Linked DNA regions of Caenorhabditis elegans. The protein of the gene in region 2 interacts with the protein of the main gene of each other region in a pairwise test. Each region holds a gene or a part of one and is shown on either strand. Other genes may lie near its edges.

Evidence for each region.
Region 1: the proteins of C18B2.5 (region 2) and pry-1 interact in a two-hybrid assay, tested with the Caenorhabditis elegans proteins (one study listed by BioGRID).
Region 3: the proteins of C18B2.5 (region 2) and erm-1 interact in a two-hybrid assay, tested with the Caenorhabditis elegans proteins (2 studies listed by BioGRID, with this or other methods).

Annotation. Positions count from the first base shown.
Region 1 is NC_003279.8:14,173,266-14,181,029, reverse strand, and holds the start of pry-1 (Axin-like protein pry-1), read left to right. Parts: upstream 1-1,669; 5' UTR 1,670-1,673; coding exon 1,674-1,778; intron 1,779-2,674; coding exon 2,675-2,737; intron 2,738-2,796; coding exon 2,797-2,886; intron 2,887-2,931; coding exon 2,932-3,069; intron 3,070-3,519; exon of another isoform or gene 3,520-3,592; intron 3,593-3,834; coding exon 3,835-4,016; intron 4,017-4,063; coding exon 4,064-4,195; intron 4,196-4,817; coding exon 4,818-5,046; intron 5,047-5,769; coding exon 5,770-5,950; intron 5,951-6,870; coding exon 6,871-7,293; intron 7,294-7,456; coding exon 7,457-7,556; intron 7,557-7,764. UniProt on the Caenorhabditis elegans protein: Works in parallel with axl-1 in negatively regulating bar-1 signaling in vulval precursor cells and Q neuroblasts. Inhibits Wnt signaling, which affects tissue specific expression of Hox genes, egl-5, lin-39 and mab-5.
Region 2 is NC_003284.9:3,606,306-3,612,706, reverse strand, and holds C18B2.5 (G domain-containing protein), read left to right. Parts: upstream 1-1,614; 5' UTR 1,615-1,616; coding exon 1,617-1,709; intron 1,710-1,767; coding exon 1,768-1,827; intron 1,828-1,877; coding exon 1,878-2,027; intron 2,028-2,074; coding exon 2,075-2,317; intron 2,318-2,365; coding exon 2,366-2,443; intron 2,444-2,508; coding exon 2,509-2,602; intron 2,603-2,878; coding exon 2,879-3,045; intron 3,046-3,098; coding exon 3,099-3,405; intron 3,406-4,112; coding exon 4,113-4,195; intron 4,196-4,250; coding exon 4,251-4,474; intron 4,475-4,530; coding exon 4,531-4,693; intron 4,694-4,739; coding exon 4,740-5,075; intron 5,076-5,726; coding exon 5,727-5,828; downstream 5,829-6,401.
Region 3 is NC_003279.8:5,284,597-5,292,558, forward strand, and holds the start of erm-1 (Moesin/ezrin/radixin homolog 1), read right to left. Parts: upstream 6,099-7,962; 5' UTR 6,040-6,098; coding exon 6,022-6,039; intron 5,923-6,021; coding exon 5,839-5,922; intron 5,598-5,838; coding exon 5,397-5,597; intron 3,723-5,396; coding exon 3,568-3,722; intron 3,246-3,567; coding exon 3,086-3,245; intron 3,038-3,085; coding exon 2,855-3,037; intron 2,116-2,854; coding exon 1,936-2,115; intron 1,854-1,935; coding exon 1,506-1,853; intron 973-1,505; coding exon 867-972; intron 790-866; coding exon 623-789; intron 95-622; coding exon 2-94; 3' UTR 1-1.

The DNA.
Region 1 (7,764 bases), on a different chromosome or scaffold from region 2:
TTTTTAAATTTATTTTAGGCTCAGTTTAGGCCAAACTATTTTAGGTCTTTTTTAGGCGTAAAAATTTGAAAATTTTTAGACTCGGTTTAGGTCAAACCATTTCATGGCCAAATTTCGGCTTGAAATCTAAAAAAAATTACGGTAAAATCTTATTTTTTGAAATGTTTGAAAACTCAAAATATTCCAAGAAAAAAAAAACTAGTTTTACAACATTTTTCTGGGTTTTCTTAAAATCCTTGTTGGGCTAAGAAATTTTAAACTAAGAAATTTTGCTGAAATCTTAAAAAAATTGTGTTGTTTGAGGTTTACTGGCCAAATTTTAGACTTTTTTTTTAATGGCGATAATTTCAAAAAAATCAAGTTTTTACAGCGTCACATTTTTTAAACATTTTTTAAGCTTAAACTATGAGATAGCAAAAAATTGTCTACTAACAAAATAATTACCGTAAAATTTCCTACATTTTATTAATAGCCAACTTTTCGATTGCTTCAGGCTCCACAGAGTTATAACGGTTTGAACTCAAGAGGCGCTAGGCTCCTTTTAACTTCAAACCTCTATAACTCTACAAATAAAAAAGCTAGCAAAAAATTGTTAACTATCAAAATAATTATCATAAACTTTCCTACATTTTATTTATTGGAAACTTTTTGATACCGTCATTTTCTGCAGAATTACAGGATTTTGAACTTGACCTCTACGCCTCCCTTGGCCCCCAGTTTTAACTTAAACCCCTATAACTCTGCACACAATGGTGCTAGCAAAACATTTGAACTGACAAAATAATTGCTATAAAACGTCCTACAATATGCTAGTTAACAACTTTTTGATGGCATCAGTCTCCGCAGAGTTACAGCTATTTGAACTTGACCTCTAAGCCTCCCTTGGCCCCCAGTTCCAACCTAAAAGCTCCATAACTCCGCAGAGAGCAGAGCTAGCAAAAAGTTGTCAACTAACAAAATAATCTACGTACAATTTTCTACATATATTCAATTTAAATTTTTCTGCTAGACCAACTTACCAGCAAGATCAACGCCCCTAAAGTTAGGGGCCCCTCCCGGTAGCCGGTCGAGCGTCCCCAGTAAACTCTTCCGGGGGCACCCGAAACAATGTTCACTCATCAATCGTTGTCATCTTTCTGGAGACATGTGTCTTATCTGTGTGTGTGTACTACTACTCTTCCCAATACACCCCATTACTCTCCGTCACTATCTCTGCGTCTCTCACCCCCGCCACTCTCTCGCTCTCGCCCATTCATTGAGTAAGCGAGGGGCCTCATTCCTTGATTATCAGCCACTGATAGGAACAATAAGACACCCATAGTTGTTCCATTTTTGCAATTAGAGAGGGAATAGTGACGCTTATAATATATTGTATATCCTATATCTTATCACAGTTTTTTTTTTTTTTTTTTGTGTATAGTTTTGGCCTATTTTATAGGTTTTGAGGGGGTCAAACTGCTAAGTTTAAATAAAATTTGTTTAATTTTCAGTAAAAGCGTCATTAGAAAAGTTTTGAACAAAAAATTGAAAAAAAAAATTTTGGCAAAAAAATTATTTTTTTAAAATTTTTTCAAAAAAAAATTTCCCTCGATTTTTCAAGTTTTTCTCTACTTTTTTTTTTGAATATTCTCTTATTTCAACATAATCATAAAATTCACCTCCTTTTCAGGTGCATGGAGACCCATCTCGGTTGGGCGCGAAGCCTGGAGGCCGTTCTATCCGATCGATCGGCACTCGACGCGTTTCAGGAATGGCTTATTGAGTACTCCTCGCCTCAGGTAACTTTTTTTTTGGGATTTTTCTGCGAAATTTGGATTTAGCTTGCCGAGAGCTTCAAAATAAGTATAATCATGACATTTTTACGATGATTTTGAAAATTTTTAGGTTTTGGCGCAAAATTTTTAGATTTTCTTTTGCTGCGGGACCCAAAGTTCCAATATTTGAAATTTTTACTTGTTTTCGGATGTAGCTTGTCAAGAGCTTCAAGATGAGTATAATTATGCCTAGGTTACTTCAAACTTGAAAGAATCTGGGTCTCACCGCGAAGGTTATTACTGTAGTCCCAAATTTTCGTGGCGAGACCCTAATTTTTCAACCTTTGCGGAACCTGGACATCATTATACTTATCTAAAAGCTGACAGCGAGCTGACTTCGAATTTTATAGTTTTGCAGGCGAAATCATAATTTTGTGAGAATTTTGACCAGTTACAAGGAAAGTCTGCGATTTCACGTTTTTTCGAAAATTTTTTGCGAAAATTTCAACTTTTTTTAATTTTCGAGATAAATTTCTCATAATTTAATCAATCTTTTCATGCGCTTTTGGAAAAGCATAATCATGACCACGTTTCGCAAAACGTTGGGTCCCACCACGCAACCCATGGGGTTCTGTAGTTGTTTGTCGTTGTGGGACCCCATAAAAATTAAATTTATTGAAATTCATACACAGCATCCTGAGAGCTTTGAAATAAGTATAATAGTCTAGGTTCCGTCAAAAAAAAGTTGGGTCTCACCACGAAATCTACTACTGTGGCCCCACATTTTCGTGGCGAGACCCAATTTTTTCAAACTTGACGGAACTCATGCATGATTATACTTATTTCAAAGCTCTCAGCAAGCTAAATTCAAATATTGACTTTAAATTTCCGAATTCTCTAAAAAAATAAGAAATTTTCAGTACCTCGACTTGTTCTTCGCAATCCGAGCATACGAACGAATGGCGTTGGAGGGAAAACCGGAGGTATTGATTTTTTTGCAACTTTTTTGGCAAATCGGGCAATATTTATCTATTTTTTTTAGAAATCCCAACTTTCCAAGTCAATATACTCGAAATTTTTGTCCTCTCGGACCGGAAACTGCGAAGCAATTCCCAAGCATTTTAGGGCTCCGGTAAGCTTTTCTTAAAATTTTTTAAAATCAAAAATTAATTTTTGGATTGGTGAAAAACTACGTCATGGCACCGAATTAGAGGATCGGGTATTCAGTCATTGTTCGAATTTTGTTCAAGAATTTTTAAGACGCCAACACGAGGAGTTTGTGGGCTCCGAAGAGTTTATTGAGGCTTTTAATAAGGTAAATTGTTTTTTTTTTTAATTGTGAAAATTTGAATTTAGCTCACTGAGAGCTTTAAAATAAGTATAATCATGCCTAAGTTCCGTCAAATTTGATAGAAGTTGGGTCTCACCACGAAAACCTACAGTAACCCAGGATTTTCTTGGCGAGACCGAGGTTGTTTGGAAAATTTACAGAATTTGCGAAACCTATGCATTCTTAATGTAATATCGGCGGTCTCAGTTCAGATTTTCAGAATTTTGGCGAAAATTTTAGGGTTTTCCAACAATTGGGTCCTACGACGAAATTTTTCCGGTGCCTAACTTTTTGAATTTTGATTCTTTGCAATTTTTATTTACAAAATTAAACTCAATTGACTGAAAGCTTCAAAATAAGTATAATCATGCTTAGGTTCCGTTAAGTTTGAGAAAAGTTGGGTCTCGCCACGAAATGTATTACTGTAGCCCCAAATTTTCGTGGCGGGACCCAACTTTTGTCAAATTCAACCAAACCTAGGCATGATTATACTTATTTGAAAGCTCTTTCTAAGCTAAATTGAATTTTTATAGTCACAGTGTGAAAAATTTGAAAACCGAGAAGTTGGGTCCCACCACGAAAGGGTTACTGTAGGTTTTCGTGGCGAGACCCAATTCTAATAGAACCCAGACATGATTATACTTATTCGAAAGCTATTTTTAAGCTGAATTTGAATTTTAGCATTTTACGTATCTTATCGCAATTCTGAAAAAAATTTCCAATCCCAAAAACTAAAAACCCCAATTCCAGATGTCATCTACCACCGCCGACCAGCTCCCGGGAGGCTCCGCCCACCATTCATCACACCAAAACACCATGAGAAGGTCGTCAGGCACTACCTCCCGTAAAAGTGCCGCACAAATCGCCACCCAGCTCACAGCTGAGGCCCTCCTAAAATCGAAACACGACAGGCACAGCAAACTTGGAGAAACGTAAGTCGCCTACCTACCCTACCTATTTAAATTTGAATTTTTTTTAGAAAACTTGAGAAAATGTACCCACCGACACGTCAACCATACGTATGCAACGCCACTACCTCACACAACGACTCGGCTGTCAGCTCGACGTTTTCTGGGGACACGCCCGAAGCCCATAGGATGCATAGTAATAGGTAGGTGATTTTGGTTAATGTATTTGAATTAAGCTTGTTGAGAGCTTTTAAATAAGTATAATTATGCCTAGGTTCCGATAAAATTGGGTCCCGGCACGAAAATCTACACTAACCTTTTCGTCGTGAGACCCTACTTGGCAGTTTTCAGATTTTTTACTTTTAAATTGTGATAGCTGAGCTCAACTTACCAAGAGTTTCAAAACAAGCATAAACATGCCCAGGTTCCGTTAAAATTGGGTCCCGCCACGAAAACCCCGAGTTACTGTTGGTAGGTTTTCGTGGCGAGACCCAAATTTTTTCAAACTTAACTGAACCTAGGCATTATTATACTTGTTAGAAAGCTCGTTACAAGCTGAACTTTAATTTCAAATTTTTAGGGTTCAATAAATTATTTCTGAAAAAAATCGCGACGAGACCCAAATTAAGCTTATTTTTTTGAAAATTGTATTTTTTTGAAAACCTTAAATTTTAGTGTTGAGAGCTATTACTACAAAAAAACCAAAAGTTTTCGCGGTAAGACCCTAAAATTTTGAAAATTTTCAGGCCATGGCATGATTATACTTATTTTGAAGCTCTCAGTGAGCTTATATCAAATTTTTATCTAAAAGTGTCTAATTTCCAGACTCCGCCATATCCGAGACGAACAAGCCCGCGAGAATCACGGTACCATGACACTGCCACGTGTCGAAAAAGCCAGCGTCGATGGTCAGCAATGGGATCATTCTTCTGAATCAGGAAGAAGAAATTTTGCAATGGAAATCACCAGAAAACTGCTTAGGCATATTGATAAGGTTAAGCTAAATGATGAGATGGAGAAGAGGATTGACGATATCGAAGAGTGTCGGTATACGGTAGGTTTTTCAGTTTCGAGTTTTAGGCTTTGAATTTGTAAAATTTGAAATCAGCACGCCGAGAGCTTCAAAATATGTATAATCATGACTAGGTTTCGCCAAGTTTGAAAAATTTTGGGTCCCACCACGAAAATGTGGGGTTACAGTAATACCTTTCGTGGTGGGACCCACATTTTTTAAAACTTGACGGAACCTAGGCATGATTATACTTATTTTGAAGCTCTCAACAAGCTGAGTTTGAATTTGTAATTTTTAAAGTGAAATTCAAAGAATTTTAGGGTCCCACCACGAAATCGTACTTCGCGGCAGGACCCAACTTTCTTCAATTTTGCAATTTTGCTTGGAAACTTATAAATTGGAGCTAACTTTGCTCATAGCTTCAAAATAAGTATAAACATGTCTAGGATCCGTTTTATTTAAATATTCCTGGTTTAAGCGTACAGTAACCCTAGATTTTCGTGGCGAGACCCACTATTTTTCAAATTCAACTAAACTTGAGCATGATTATACTTATTTTGAAGCTCTTTACAAGCTGAGCATGTTTTTTTAGTTATCTAGTCACCACTGCAAAATTTGGATTTTTTGGGTCCCACCACGACTACAGTAACCCTGGATTTTCGTGGCGAGACCCATTATTTTTTGAATTCAACTGAAATAGGGCATGTTTATACTTATTTTAAAGCTCTTATCAAGCTGACTTCAATTTTCAAATTAATTTTTCAGACAATCGACATGGTAAACGGCACGGAGCCCAACGACGATCTGGGGAAAATCGATGAGGACGAGGAGTTGGATGATTATCTGAAAATGAAAATGACAGATGATTCCCAAAAAGGATCAACAAATCGATCACCTAAAGGCCCAGCAGGAGAGCCCAACAAATCTGGAGAAGGATCGAAAAATAGTGAGTTCCCATGCTCCGGTACCATATGTCGGGTTATTCTCATGAAGGGATTAATATTACTAATAGGTGTTAGAATTGGAATAGCTGTTAGTAAACATCTTAATGACAAAAATATTTGTCAGGGAACGTTTTTTTTTAGTTCGAATCTATGAAAATTAAAAATAAAAAAATTTTTGAAATTTTTTTTGAGCAAAAACTTTTTTCTCCAAAATTAATAAATTTAATTATTGAAATTATTAAAATCACGTCTGCCTCATTGAGAGCTTCAAAATAAGTACCAACATGCCTAGGTTTTCTTGATTTTGGGTTCCGCCACGAAAATGGGTGTTGTAGCTTTTCGTGGTGAGAACCAACAACTACAAAATGACATTTTTGCTTTAAAACTACAAAATGCAAGCTCAGCTCACCTAGAGCTTCAAAATAGGTATAATCATGGCTAGGTTCGGTGAAATTTGAAAATTGTTGGGTCTCGTCACGAAATGTATTACTGTAGCCCCAAATTTTCGTGCCGAGACCCAAAAATCTTCTAATTTGACGAAACCTAGGCATGTTTATACTCGTTTTAAAGCTCTTGACGAGCTGAAAAAAAAAATTACTAAAACTGTAAAAGTTTTAAATTTTAAATATCTTTCGTGGTAAGACCCAAATTTCTGAAATTTCAAAAAAAAATCCAGTATTTTTATATTTCCAGTCAATTTTCAAACTCAGCTCGTTCAGAGCTTCAAAATAAGTATAATCATGCCTAGGTTTGGTGAAATTTGGAAATTTTTGGGTCTCACCACGAAAGTTATTACTGTAGCCCCAAATTTTCGTGGCGGGACCCAACTTTTTTCAAACTAGACGGAACCTAAGCATGTTTATACGTATTTTGAAGCTCTTCATGAGCTGAATTCAAATTTCCAATTTATAATATTTTCCAGCCACCCTCTCCCCAACCAATCGTGCTCCCGCTCAGCTCCACAACACAATTCGGGTCCCGAGACGAAAAGATTACCCCCGGGACACCTCGGCTTCTCTAAAATCTCATCGTCACCATCAAATCGACACAAATCGAATGATGAGCCAATCAATGTGCGCTCCATCGTACTCCTCAGCCAGCTCCTCCTACAGTAGGGACTCCTTCGCGCCGGCGCCCACTACCAGGGTGAATTTTGCTCCGGGGAGCAGCAAATCGAGTCAATTCTATGATTCTTCGGGAATTGGGTCTATGGCACCGTCGGCGTTCTCCGCCACTTCGTCACTGGATTATAAGGATCGGAGGCAGCACAGAAAGGCTCCAACGCCTAAGAAGCACTCGAAAATTGGGAAAAATTTGTCGAATTTGATAACTATTAGCTATTTAGGTAAGGTTTCATTTTTTTATACAAAAAAAAGTGAAAAAAAAAATTTTACAAATTTTTTTTTGAAAATTTTTTTGAACTTTTTTTTCAGATTTTCTATGTTTCTAGGGTAGATTTTACCCTAAATTTTATATTTTCTAACATTTTAACTCAAATTTTTTTCCAGGAACCGATAAAATCCCTGTGGTAACACATGTCCCTAACGATGGACCAATGACGTTGGCGGAGTTCAAGAGGCACTTTGCTCTGCCAAATGGAGCACATCAGTGAGTTTTTTTTTGGGTTTAAACTGGGAAAATATTGATTTTAGGTTGATTTGGAAGTTTTTGGAAAATTTTGAAAAAAAAAATTTTTGCTCAAAAATATTTTTTTTTGGAAAAACAAATTTCCAAAAATTTTCAAAAATTTTTTTTTTCAAAATTCTCAAAAACGTTATTTCTCAATTAATATGGTATAAATGTTCCCAAAATTGCA
Region 2 (6,401 bases):
ACAAAATTCAACTAACTTTAGTTAAATTGAAAAATAAAATAAAAAGCCATGAAAATTTTTGAATTTGTTTTTGTTCAGCACATTTTTTCATTTCAGGTCATTTTTACATTATTCGTCATCACCACGGCTTGTTAGTATTCCTTTGAAAAATTTGAAACTGAATTTATTTTCTAATAAAATTATGACCAACGAAAGCAATTGTGAAAATAACTTTTTTCCTATGGAACCGTTTTGTTTTGAAATTATAATTTATTTTAATTGAACTCAAAACTAAAAAAAATCCTGCGTTTTTTTGAAACAAAGTGCTTACTCATTGGGTACCTAAAAATTAAGAACCATGGTCTTAATTTTTTTTGTTGAGTTTTTTTTTTTTAAATAATTGTGTTCTCATGCTAGATTATTAAACACATTTTCTATCAAAAAAAAATGCGCAAATGCAAGGTATCAACTCGGGAGAATCTTATTCATTTTTCAATTGTTTTCGCTTGTATTTTTTTCCAACCTTCCTCCGCTAGACATGTATTTGATGGGTTTCACCTTTTTCTTCCAATTTCAGTTCACGTTTTTTTGTTCAGCATCTCTTTTTTCCCCTCTTTTCAAAAGTATTCAATCTTATGCAATGTTGTTCTCAATAAAAGCAATAATGTGTTCAGTCCTTTACATGCGAGCAAACAGTCCTGAAACTTAACTGGCAGAGAATTGATATGCGTGTGGTTTATCATGTTTTTTCAGGGTTCTATAACTGGAAAGAAACTTATCACAAAGAAGAAATTCCACTCTTTACATTTTCAATTTTTGAAAGAATAATGAAGCTATGTTTTCTTTTCTTTTTTTTTGAACTTTTGAACTTTCAGGTAAAACAAAAAAGTTTTCTTAAATCTATTTTGGATTCAAATCGAGGAATGCCTTGGAAACTGATTTTTTTTTCACTAAAAGATTGTATCTTAAGAACTTTCGTTCCATTTTCTAGTCAAATTAAACTGTAAACTATTATGTCCTTCAATTGGGATGTATTGTAAAATTTGACCCGTTCCAAAATTATGATGGCATCTACTCATTTTTGTAGAAATAAAACCCAACCATCTGCTAGTCTCGGCAAACAACACGCGAACTTTGTTTTTATCCCCTCTCACTCTCAGTTCAGTTCAGCGCTCTCCACCGATTTTTTATTTTGATTTAACTCGTCAATACTCTCGTTCCATTGTTACGGTTGTTAGCTGCATATACAATACGTTTTTGGCGCCTGACGCGAGAAGGTGTAATGCGTGGCACGCATTGATAAGCGACACGGTTTGACAGGAAACTTTTAAGCAGTGCTCTGCCATTTCTGTCTTTGCACTCCATTACACCGTGCAATTTGCCTTTTACCGATCTTTCGTCACGGTCAATCATCTCCGTTTTCAGCCAGGTTTTTCTGTTTCAAATATAATTTCACGGGGAGTACAATAGGAATGGTTTGTCTTTGATGATAGTTGAGCAAAGTTTGCAGAAATAATCATATTTTATATGTAGCATAAGTTTGTTTTGCTATTTTTCTTAATTCTCACTGTTTATCGTTCTCGATTTTTCCATTCCCACAATTTAACAACTCCTATTATTGTGTCTTTTGTACAGACATGTCGCGAAGCACGGCTGTCAGCATCAACTTGGATGACGTCTTTGGCAACCTTCCAGCGTTGACATCTGCCACCAACGTGAAATCTTCCGAGGTAACCAAAAATTTCGCAGAATTTTTGTATTTCCAATAAATTTTGAAAATAATTTCAGTCTGGAAATAGAAGCCGCAAGACAACTGCTTCGAGTGTATCCACTGTGAGAGAGGTTCCGGTAAGAGTTCATTATGGTATAGAGCTCATAATACTTGTAAACTTTTCCAGATTGGAAACGGAATCCGATCACATGCGACATCAACTGTGGTGTCCCATCCACCACATGCAGTATCTGCACCTCCACCACCACCAGTCAATGTCACCCCAATTTCGCATTACTACGATGCAACTCCAGTGAATGACGATTTGATGAACTCGGTAACTATATTTTTAACTGAACCACTTTTCACAACAACGTTTTAAAGGTCTTTTCCGCTGTGACACTGCCAACTGTCAACTTGCACGGAGGACATGACGATGCTCTCCGTCATCTCGACGAAGCTTTGTATGGTGAGGATCACGAGTCCATCGTCAGTGAGCCACCATTTCAAGCTCCAAGCCATGTGAGCTCGTCACATGTTACATCTCATGTTAGCTCGCACAGAAATCAGTATGCAAGCGAACATCACCCACAAAACGCAAGCGTAGTGTCAAACGGATCTGCCAAGGTAAATTTCAATTTTTAGGAACTATTCGGGTAAGTTGGTCCGTTTTAGAGGCATGCCGCTGCACGAACTGGAAGTCTCGTCGTGAACAATGTTTTCAACGATTTGAATATCAATTCTCAAAGCTATGCAAGTTATTTGCATTGTGTTGAAAATAGATTGTTTTGAATTCAAAGTAAGTTCGTAATTTTCAGCACTACGACGCCTACGGATCTGAGCCGCAGCCGGATTATGAAGACGAGAGAAGTGACCACTTCAATCTGAATCATCAATATCCAATCAGAACGGGTGAGTGTCACTTTTCAAGACGGAAATAAAAAAAATTGTAGAAGCATGTAAATAAGTTGCAACGGTCATATTTCTGCTATGAGTCAGTTATTGAGGAGTGAACAGTGGTGTAGGCTTTTGTTATGCACATTGAACATAACTAGTCATACTCTTGTCTGCTCAAAAATGTTTGACTATTTTTATACTCAAGCGGGTCGTAAGTGTATCCGAAATAGTACTAGTTAGTTTTAAAAAAAGTTGCATATAATCAATGTATGTTTAAAAAAGTTATTTTAGCACAACCACACCGTGATCGTTCCAACACCATCGATAGCTCCGCATCGTTTGCTGAAAGCCGTTTCGGACAATTCGATGTTCACGATGAGCATGACCGTTACCATGGTGAAGAAATCAACCTTCATCATGACGAAGTGGCATATGAACGCCCACGTTCTGAGCTCAGCGTGAGAAAATTATCAAAAAAATCTTCATTATCATTAATAAAGTCTTTTTACAGTCACCAGGAAGTGTGTACTCTTCCCATACCCAAGCTTCGTTCCACACTGGTGGAACCCAGAAGCTGAGAAATCTTCAACGCCAAGTTGAAGATGCTCACGCGAAAAAAGCTCAGCTCTCTCATCAAGTTGACCGTCAACGCGCTGACAATGACCGCATGACTCATGCTAATTTGGCTCGTGAAGCTTCATTGAAGGTCAACAAAATTGGACAAGGTGCGAAGCCACAAGGCTACCACGTTCGCTCGTACAGCCATGAGCACGATCATCATCATTTGCCGCCACAGCCGAAATCCAGCCATTCTTCAAGTAAGTTTTAGAGAATTTAATTAGACTTATAAACACGGTCTTAACAAACACTCAAACTTGCCAAAATAACAAGATAATCAGGCTTCATTTTTCTGAGGTCGAAGTGAGTGTACCGTAGGAGTACTGCAGGAGTACGGTAGGATTACTGTAGTTTTCGTAAAATTTGATATAGAGCTTTTGAAGAGGTTGCGGTTTGCTGACATAACCGTGATAGTTTTTTTTTTTTTGAAAGTGTAAAATTGTTTCAAATCTTTCAAAAATGTTAGAAGCTTTACAAAAGTTTGAGGCTTTCCAAAACACTTCCGAAAAGATCACAATGCTCTAGAGGAACTTGTGTAGTATACCATACCCAAAACTATTATCCAATACGCTTTCAGTCGTTTCTTTCAAAAATGATAATATAATCAAAACTTGAACTACATTTGCATTTTTAAGCTCAGGAAACACTAATCCCATGCCTAATGTAGATTTAAAAAAATCACGAACATTTTTAAAATGGTTAAAACTTTCGGGCCAGGTGTACTGCACACACTCTACAAAAGTGTATAAATTATTTAAAAGAAAAAAAACCATGCACCTGCAAAAATGTGTGGCAGTTTTCAATTTTCTGTTTGTTCAATTTTCTGAGTACAATCAACGTTTTCTGTGCGAACTTCTATGTAAAACATATTATTTAAATTTTCTATTGCGTATATCGAATATTTAAGAGAGCGTGGACTCAAGCATCTACGAAGAGGAGGAAGCTCGTGTCAGCCCACTAGCTGCTAAACAAAAGGCAGCAGGAGAACATGTAAGTCATTTATTTTTCATATGAAAATTATTTTAATATTCTTAAAAATTATTAGATTGCAAGCAGCGGAAAATACGAGCTCGTTGTTCCACAATACTATGTTGTTGAAAACTTCTCCAAGAATGACAAGATCAACAAGGTTATCATTGGAGGAGATGCTCCACCAAGTGACGATGACAAGACTCTGCTCCTGTTCGGTCCAGTTAATTCTGGAAAGACTTCTGCTATTACCAGCATGATGAACTATTTGTATGATGTTAAGAAGGAGAATGATTTCCGGTAACTTAATTTTTTAATTTTCAATGTTATAATGTTCATTATTCTTCTTTTTTCAGATTTGTTTTGGACGAGCATGTGAACGCAACCACTGGACTCACCGCCTACGTTTTCAACAACACTGTTCTTCCTTATAACGTCACTGTTGTTGACACACCCGGGGTTGAGGACAAAATGGGCAACAAGACGGTCTCGCGACTTATCAAGCAGTGGTTTGAGAAGGTGAACTATTGAAACTTTGCAAAAAATTCTAAATTTCACGTTTTAGGAGCTTCTCAAATCTGGATCCTTCCGTCTTGATGCAATCTCAATTGTTTTGAGACACGACGAGAATCAACTGGGATGGCCGTTCATTTATGAGTTGGCTGATGTTAAGAGAATGTTCGGAGACGATTTGAAAACAAACGTTCTGCCGATTATCACCAACTCTGAAGTTCTCCCACAGCCAATTGCCATCAAAAGTCTCACACAGGCCAACATTTCTTTCCTTGAATACTACAAAGTTAACAACTCGGGATTCGCACCACTCCCAACAGGAATTTCCAAACTTCAACATAATCTCTACTGGACACACGGAACAGCTTCGTTGGAGAATCTTTTCAGAGTAAATATTATGGGTTGGGGAAGTGAAATTTAAAACTGAAAATACTAGGTGTCTCAGTCTGCGTATTTAACTCGGTTTAGTTGAAAATAACTGAAAATAGTACACTTTATTTGAAAAGTAATTTTGGCTTTCAAAAATCATCTTTCAAAAATCATCACATGAAAGCAAAGAACATAAGTATAAATTGAGGCGTCTCAAGATTATTTTTCAACCCGTCCGGGATCAAATTCAATTCAAACTTATATTGAAAAACGTATGCAGAAAAAACTGTATCTGATGAAACTTTAACATATTTTGAACTCCAACTTCAGCATAATTTTAATTTATTTCATATGTATGGGAAGGCTTTCAAATATTCAAAATAGAAAACTTTCCATGAAAACTATTCCGGTTTTTATAGTAATTATGACATAAAATTTTTCAAATGTGCTTATGAACATTTAAATAATTTTTTTAAACATATTTATATATTTTTGTTTTCGGTTTAGTTCTAAGCTTTTTTCATATCAAGTTTTTAACTCATATTAACTCACTTTTCAAAATTGTATTAATAATGTTCGAATGTGAGAGATGATATTAATTTTTGCGGTTTTGATAGGTCAGCTTATTATCTATGCTTCTGAAACTACCTTATTAAATCTTTCACTTCAGGATTTGCAAGAAACTGTCCACCCACTAGTTGCCATCCTCCGACACAACAAGGGACAAAAAGTCGAACAAGCTCCAGTGTTTGCTGATAAAGTGTTGTATTAAAAAACAATTTATTATTATTAGTATTATTATTTGTGTTTTCTGATTCAATGGTTTCAATTTAATCTCCGATCCACTCATTTTGTATTTATTGTTCGACTTAACATTTTTATCCAACGCGACTCGATAAACATTCCCTATCAATCGTTTTTTTTGTTTTTCAGCTTCATTTCTTTTCGCTAAGGAACTAATATAATTTTTGGCAGAATAATATTGTTCATTGATATTTAAATCAAAAATACAAATAATATTATAGGAAATTCTAGAAATTTCGACATATCAGTTAAGAGGAACGCTATTACAAGTGTCAAGTTTTACAAATATGATTACCTAGTGTATAAAACGAATTTCAGGAAATTTTAATTTTCAAAGTGTACAGAGAAAGCCTAGATTGATAGATACTATCACTTTCAAAAGTTCCTTAAAATTCAAAGCAAATGATGATACTCATTTTAAAGTGAATTAAAATTGTGAACATAACATTCGAACTTTTTGGAGCTTAGGCCGGATAATAATGTGTTGAACTATACAGAAACAAAAAAGAAACATTTGAATACTTTGGAGTACATCTACTTT
Region 3 (7,962 bases), on a different chromosome or scaffold from region 2:
ATTACATATTTTCGTATTGATCGATTCTTCGTTTTGTGTTTCCTCCACGGATTTGACGGAGAGTCTTGTACTTGTCGCGTCCGGCCTTTTTGTTCTGAAAATTTAAAAATTTGGAATCGGGCCGGCAGGTTTTTCGGTTTTTCGATATTTCGGTTTCGCTCAAAAAATCTAAAAAATTTAGGGTCAAACTTGTTCAAAAATAAGTAAAATTTATGTTGCTTGTTTCCGTAAAGGAAATACCGAGTTTGGAATGTTTTCAGAAATGTTTTCGGTTTGTCTGCAAACAGAAAACACCGAAAAAACTCAATTTCTGTACTTCAAACAATTTTAATATCATAAAATTATTTTTAAGCAAAATTTGTTTTTAATGGCTTTTTAATGATTTTTAATGATTTTTTTTATTTTAAAATAATCCGGAACTCGATATTTTTTAAAGATTTTTGCGTTCTTCTGTTTTTTTCCAAATTTAATTTTTAAAAAATTGTATTTTGATCGCAGTCCGGAAATATTTTTTAAAACTTGAATTTATGAAAAAAATGCAGGTTCTAGAAAATTACTGTAAATTTTGAATGCTAAATTCTCTAAAACCATCCATTAAAACGAGTTTTTTTAAAATACGAACCTCCATATGCAGAACGTCGTAGTCAGTGACAGCGTTCTGATCTTTAACACTGTCAAGCTCGCGAGTCAACATATCCAGCTTATTCTTGATCTGAATGTTCTTCTCGGCTGCTGTGACACGCTCCAACTCGTGTTGTGGCACATTCTGATCAGCGTCATTTGTGAGTTCTGGAAGATAAAATTTGAAGATGATATTTTTTCTCATAATCTCTCCCAATTATTTTAAATAAATAAAAAAGGCATACCAGTTGCTCCATTATCTTCATCATCAGTGGCAGTCTCATCGTGAGCGTGTCCATTGGAAACGTGATGACTGTTTGAGTAGTGTTGAGTGTGTTGTTGCGAGTGAATCTGAATTTAAGAAAAAATAATTTTGAAATAAAATAAATCCAGAGTTACAATCAGGGATTCCGTTTTTTTTGGTTTTTTCGGACAAGAAAACATTTAAAAAAATGTTTATCAAAAATTTTATGTTTTAGTTGGTATGACGAAAAATGAACATTTTTGTTTTTTTTTGTTGGTTTTTTGGAGAAATTTTAAACAAAATTTGTTTGTTTTTTGGCCGAAATTTTTGTTGCAACATCACTGCGTACAATTAAAAAATCTCGCTTTTAAAGATCGGATTTTTTATTCTTTCACAATTTTTTTTAGTTTTTTCTTTTTGTATCTCTTTTATTGTTGCAAATTTTTTTTTTAAATTAAGCTTTTTTGTTACAGTAATCAACTAATTTCAGGAATTACTGCATACTTTTTTTCATTTTAAAATTTTAAAACAGTAATTTCAGACTGAAAATTACTGCTCGATAATTGTTAATACGGTATTTAAAATAATTTTTTTAAAGAGAATTTTTTGTTTCTATTTTAGTTTCAAAAATAAAAAATACCTGTGTCTGAAGTTGTCTTGTAACAGTAGTCTGTCTCTCGACTTCTTCTCTCATCGAAAAAACTTCACGTTCACGAGCATCAACTTGGTCTCTCAAATGACGTCTCTCACCATCACTCATTGCTTTTTCGGATTGAAGTTGAGCAGTGAGCTCACGAAGTTCGTATTCCTTCTGTTCCAATGCTTGTTTAGCCAATTGCAATTGCTTGAGTTGAGCCTCCAATGAGTGAATTGTATTGTGTGCTTCAGCCAATTCAAGACGAGCTCTCTCCATATCTTCCTGCATTTGAGCCATACGCTTTTCGGCGTCACGTTGACGCTGTTCGGCTTCTTCGCGAGCAGACATCTCCTGTACGATCAAAACAGATTTGAGTGAAAGTTTTTTTAGAAATTATTTGTAAAAACATGTTTCAAAAATTTCCGCAACTTACTCTGGTGAGCTTCTCCTGCTCGGCAATCTTAAGAGCACGATCCTCTCTGGCTTGTTGCTTCATTTGTTGAACTTCAATGGTATCTGGCTTTCTTCTACGCATGTAAAGCTCGTGATTTCCCATACACAAAGCAAGAATACGTTTGTTGATACGGAGTCGTGGAGCGTAGAAGACAAAGTCCTGAAAATTAATGATAAAAATGAAGACGAATAATGAAAAACATTTTTTCGATTTTTTTTTCAGCGAAAATAAGAATTTTTTTTCGATTTTTCTAAAATCAAAAAATCGGGGAAAAAATGTTCAGAAAAATTACAACAAACTCAATTTCCACAAAATGTTCCATCCATCTCGAAATTTGCGATTTTTGATACAAAAACACATTACTCGATATCGAGGCGATCGAATAAATTTAAATGAAAAAGGATGTGCGCATTTAAAAAGTACAGTAGTTACCGTTGAGCTGATTTGAAATTTTCATAGATTTTTTCTAAATATTTTTATTGTAAAAACCTTTTATTTTACTTTTGTTAGTGAAACTAATTTTTATTAATTAATAAACTAGAAAAATCTAACGAAGTTGGAAATCAGAAAGGCCTGGAGCTACTCTACTTTTTAAAGGTGCACACCATTTTGGTAAATAAATTTATTCGGTCGTGTCGAGACCGAGACCGGGCACCATACTTTTGCCTCAAAATCGCAACATTCCGCATCTGGTCAATGATTGTGATATTTTCACACCCCAAAAATAAGAAAAACCAACAAAAAAATTTTAAATCAAAATTCAATGTTCCATCGATTGCTTCTTATCACCACCACTTCCAACTACTATCACACAATTTTTCCGTTTTTTCCGCAGAAATTTTGCCAACAAATAGAAGCTTGATGCCACGACAAACTGTGTGTGACAGTAATCACTTACATGAGCCTTCTTATCAATTGGTTTGATGACAAATTTCTTGTCGTTGAATGATATATTACGAATCTCCGACCATGGGAATCCGACTTTCGGCGAAAGACGATCAGCTTTATCGTAAATATTCAATCCAAGAGCATCGACACCAAGATAGAGATCAGTTCCCTTTTTGTTGCGGATTTCAAAGTACTGAAATTAGCTTTTTTTAAAACTCGACAGAAAAATGAGAAACAGTACATTGACTCCATACATCTCGAGATCTTGTGCAATTTTCAAATATTCAAGCATAGCTTGTTCACGTGTAGTTGCACGATGATCTGCCCACCATGTCATAATACGGCGTTCCCATTCCTCACTGTTCAATTTGAATTGTCCGAGAACGCGTTGAGGAAGCAGACTGGAATGAAATAATTAATTATTTTTGGCATTTAATATAAAAAGTTTACTTTTTTTTAACTACTTCTTATTATATACTTTTTTATTGATCATCTAGATCTGGAACTTTCCCTTCTTTATTCTAATCTCATTTTCATGTGATAATTATGAATTGTATGAGTACTGTGATACTGTGAAATTTCACTACATAATTAAAAATGAATTATCGCAGAAAATTATTATTTTTCTTATTTTAGTAATCTTGATTGGAATTTTGAACCGCAAAGATATTTTTTAATAGTTATTAATAATTTTTTTAAAAGCTAATTTCAAGAAAAACTCACCGATCAGCAGTAAGACATCCGGCGACATGTGTCTCTGGAACATAGTCTCCATATTTAGCTTGCATCGCGTAAGAGGCAAGAAGAACAGAGGTTTCCGGTGGACAATAAATCTCATCTGACAGAATTCCATCTTTCACTTGGAGATAGAACAAACGCTGAAAATATTTTCATTTAATTAAGGCTTAATTTCAGTTAAAAAACTTCATAATTTTTTAACTGTATGTTCTGTACATTGAGATTGTTTTCTGACATTTTAAAAAACCATACTCCATTTTCAACTAATGATTCTGAAACCCAATTGTTCCCTCTTCCAAACAAAAAATTCTGCAAATTTTGCAAAAAGTTCAATTTATATTCTCTTCCCCTCATATTTATCGTTTTGAATCATTTTTTGATTATTCACACATGCCATTCTCCTCTTCCTCTTTATGTCAGTTATGAACATGAATATAAAAAGAGCAAAGAGACAGCAACAAACTGAGAGTTTTTTCATTGTTTCCATTGATATGAGTCATCGGAACAGAATTTAAGTCAGTCTATCTATTCAAATTCAAATGCGAAATATTATTGGAAATCTAAAAAAAAGAGAAAAAATCAATTTACTTAACCGGAAGTGATATTTATATTTTTGAATCATTTGAGAAAGTGCTCAAAAAAGGTTTTTTTGTGAATTAGAAACTTTCAGACCATTTTTGTGCATTTTCTCAAATGTTTCAACTGAAAAATGTTATTTTCATAGAAATAAAAGTATTTTTCTATATTTAAAAAAAAAAGAAATTTTTACATTAATTTTAACAACTGATCTAAATTTGCATATAGGTACTAAATCAATTTGCATATAGGTACTAAATAGCTATTCTACTGAAATCTTCAACTGATCTTGTGATCCTATTCAAACAAAACAGACCACCCAGATCAGAGATTTCCTGTTCGCAGTCGGAGGTTCTAATAGGATGCTCATTTCTCCTCTCAAAAAAAGAGTCTCGCACACACAGTGTCTTCCCATCGATGTTTACAAACCATTAAACAATCTCTTTTTGTGTGAGACAAAAAAGTGGCTCGGAGGTAATCGGAAACCACACTCTCAATGGGAGAACCTTTTTTTGAAACGGAAGGGAGAAAATGCCCATGTTTACACTTGTCACCATCAAAATATTTTGTTTTTAGGCAGTTTATTGAGGACCTTGTGAGCACATGAGCCGTGGAAATTTTTGAGCAGAAGAGTTTTTTTTGCTCAAATAAAACTGGTTTAAAAAATTCAAAAATTCTTTATAGCGAGCCAAAATTCTCAAAAAAGAGCCAAATTTTCCTAAATCGGAATGCCATTTTATTGAATTATCACTGGCATAAAAAACTTTATTCTAATTTTAGCAAAAATATCGGATTTTTTTAACAGAAAAAATATCGGATTTTTTTCAGAATTTTCACTGCTTTAATTCATTTTCGGGCATTTTTTGAGAAATTTCATTTTGAAATTTGGTCGTTTTGGGGTCTTTTTAAGCAGGCCAGCTTGTAAGAAGGTACTCTAAAACCACAGAAATGTATTCCTTACCAAAATTTTCCCCTTTTTTTCTATTCTTGAATATACTCCAAAGTTATTTCCTATTGCTTGCCAACATTGCATTACATGCATAAATGGCACGGGCATTCTCTACTTATCAGTTACAAATCAGAAATAGCACAGGAAATCAAGAGAGTCGCCAGAGAATGTCAGAAAAGCGAAAAGTGAGAATTACAACTAAAAATCAAATATTGGCCAGAGGTAATGGAAAATTTACAGTTTTTTTTTTCCAAAAAATTAAATATTTAAAAAAAGGTGTCAAACATACCATAGTGACATCCTGGATAATCTCCTCGGCCACATCTTCCGGATAGAATTTGGCGCGGAATTTGAAAACAAGAGTCGGGTCCTTCTTAACGTCCTGAGACAAGACTTTCTTGTTCAATTTCAGCCATGTTGGGAATCCCTTGTTGTCAGTGTACTGAAGTCCAAAATACCAGATCTCGCGGAGACCAATGGTTTTGACAACCTGCAAAAATTAAAATGAAGGAATTAATATTGCTGGAAAATTCGAAACTCAATTTCAAGAGCTGGAAATTTTGGATTATTTTTTTCAAATTTAAATCGTTTTGATTTAAAATTTCTAATGGTTAGTGAAAATTTAATGTTTCAGAAAATTCTGATTTTTTTTTTGAATTATTAAAATTTATCCATTCTCCAATTTAATAAAAAAAGTACTTTTTAAATATAATAAAACAAAATCATCTAACCTGATCAAAAAGTTGCTTTCCTGTGGTGCTCGACTGAATAGCGAACTCGAGCTCCGAGTCCATCGAGGTGACACGCACATTGATCTGAAACAAGAAATAGTTGGATTAGGCAAAAATAAAATCGATTTTTCGTTATATTTTTTCTTAAATTTCTAAAAAAAATTTTTTCAATTAACAATTTACATCGCCGGCCGCAACCATTTTTCTATTTTGTGTTCCACAAGTTTGAACTGCTGGACCAATTGATATGAAGAGGTTAGCTTAAAATTTTTCAGTAAAATGATATAAGAAATCTTGCATGAAAATCAGAAATTCAAAATAAAAAAAAGAGTGAAACTTGAGAATTTAAAATTCTTATCTAAAACTAAATGATATGAGTTGTCACTCTCTCTCCCTGTATACAGCACAAAAACGGAGTGAGAAGAACTATAGACCGCCCGTTTTTGTACAGGCTCCGCCTATTTGTCGGTTTGCACACATACATGTGCGCATTTCTTCATAGAAGTTTCGGCAGAAAAAAAAAGAATGAAATGATATTTCAAATATCATCAATTTTGAGTTTATTTCGAGTTCAAAATTGTTCGCGGCTCTACTTCGTAAGCGTAAAAATCTGAATTGTTTTCTAAAATTTTTTAAATTAATTTTGTAAAAAATATATGTTTTGTATTTTATTTCCCACTTATATGTTTAAAAAGAGGCGCATTTATGCAAAATGGTATTGAAACCCTCTATTTTCGAAAATTTCAACAAAACCTCAAAAATGAGTCCATTTTGCAGAAATATGCCTCTTTATAGTCTTATAAGTGAAAAATAAAATACAGAGTATATTTTTAGATCGATAGATTCTTATTTTTTAAAAAAATCGGCAGAAGTCGTGCTGAACAGAACATAATTTCCGAAATATTCAACATTTCACAGTTTCAAATTTTTTCCATTTGTTTTTAATTAATGGCGGCATTTTTTCCGAAAGAAATAAGAAAATCGCAAATTTAAACAGTGTTTTTTTTTATTTGGCCGTAAAAGTTTTAAATTATTTGAAGCTACATTTTTCAAACTTACCGCTTTTTTCGACATTATTTTAGCTCTTTTTGATGTCCGAGTCGAAGATGGATTGGGGTGAGCGGTGAGAATTCACGAAACTTTTCCACCGAAAATCTTCGTCACTTTTTTCTGCAAGAAAGTAAAATAAGATGTGAAAATAGAATTCGAATGAACAGAGATTTCAAAAATTCATGAGAAATCAGAAAACGGAGCGAAGAAAACGAAACAAATGAGTTCAAGGTTATGAATTTTAAATTTTGAATAGAGAAATCTAATTTTTCAATCATTTATCCGAAAATTCAAAGTGACACATGGAAAATTGTGTATATTTTAGGGGGATTTATACATTTGGCGATTAAAAAAAATCAATAAAACTCGAAAAACAATAAAAAATGAGTCATCGTCTGATTCAAACCCGTTCGGATCCGTTTTTGGCGCGTTCTGCGATTTGCCACTGCACGAGAATCGCGCCAGCAGGGCGTTGGCGCGATTCTCGGGTGCCTGGACAGTTTCTTGGGAGTTTTGGCGAGTTTGAGTTTTTTTTAATGCTTTAATTATTTTAAAGAAAAAGTTTCATGAATCAAAAAATTATTCAGAAAAATATGTGTCACAGGTGGGAATATTGATTTTGATTTACAGGTACAGGGCTATTATTTCCGGCAATTCTACAAAATTATTGGGCTATGTTGTTCCAACGTTTTTCACTAAAAATTAGTGTCAAAATATCGAAAATCACTCGATTTATCTGGAAATGAAACATATTTTTAGCTGAAACATTTGAAGAAATGCTCAAAATCGGTGGGAAAGTTGCAAATTGTTAGACAAAAAATCTGATAATTCGATAATCGGATACTGGCAATTTTCAGGCCATTTTTAAAAGCTTTCTTAAATGTTTTAGCTAAATTGAAGTTTATTTTCAGACGAATCAAGTAATTTTTCGATATTTTAACACTAATTTTGAAAAATGTTGAGATAACATGACAACAAAAAATTTGATGGAAAAAGCCAATAAAGCACACAAACTGGCTTAAATTTTCAGCTGGATACCGTATTAGAACAGTACGGAAAAAATTCCAAGAAGTT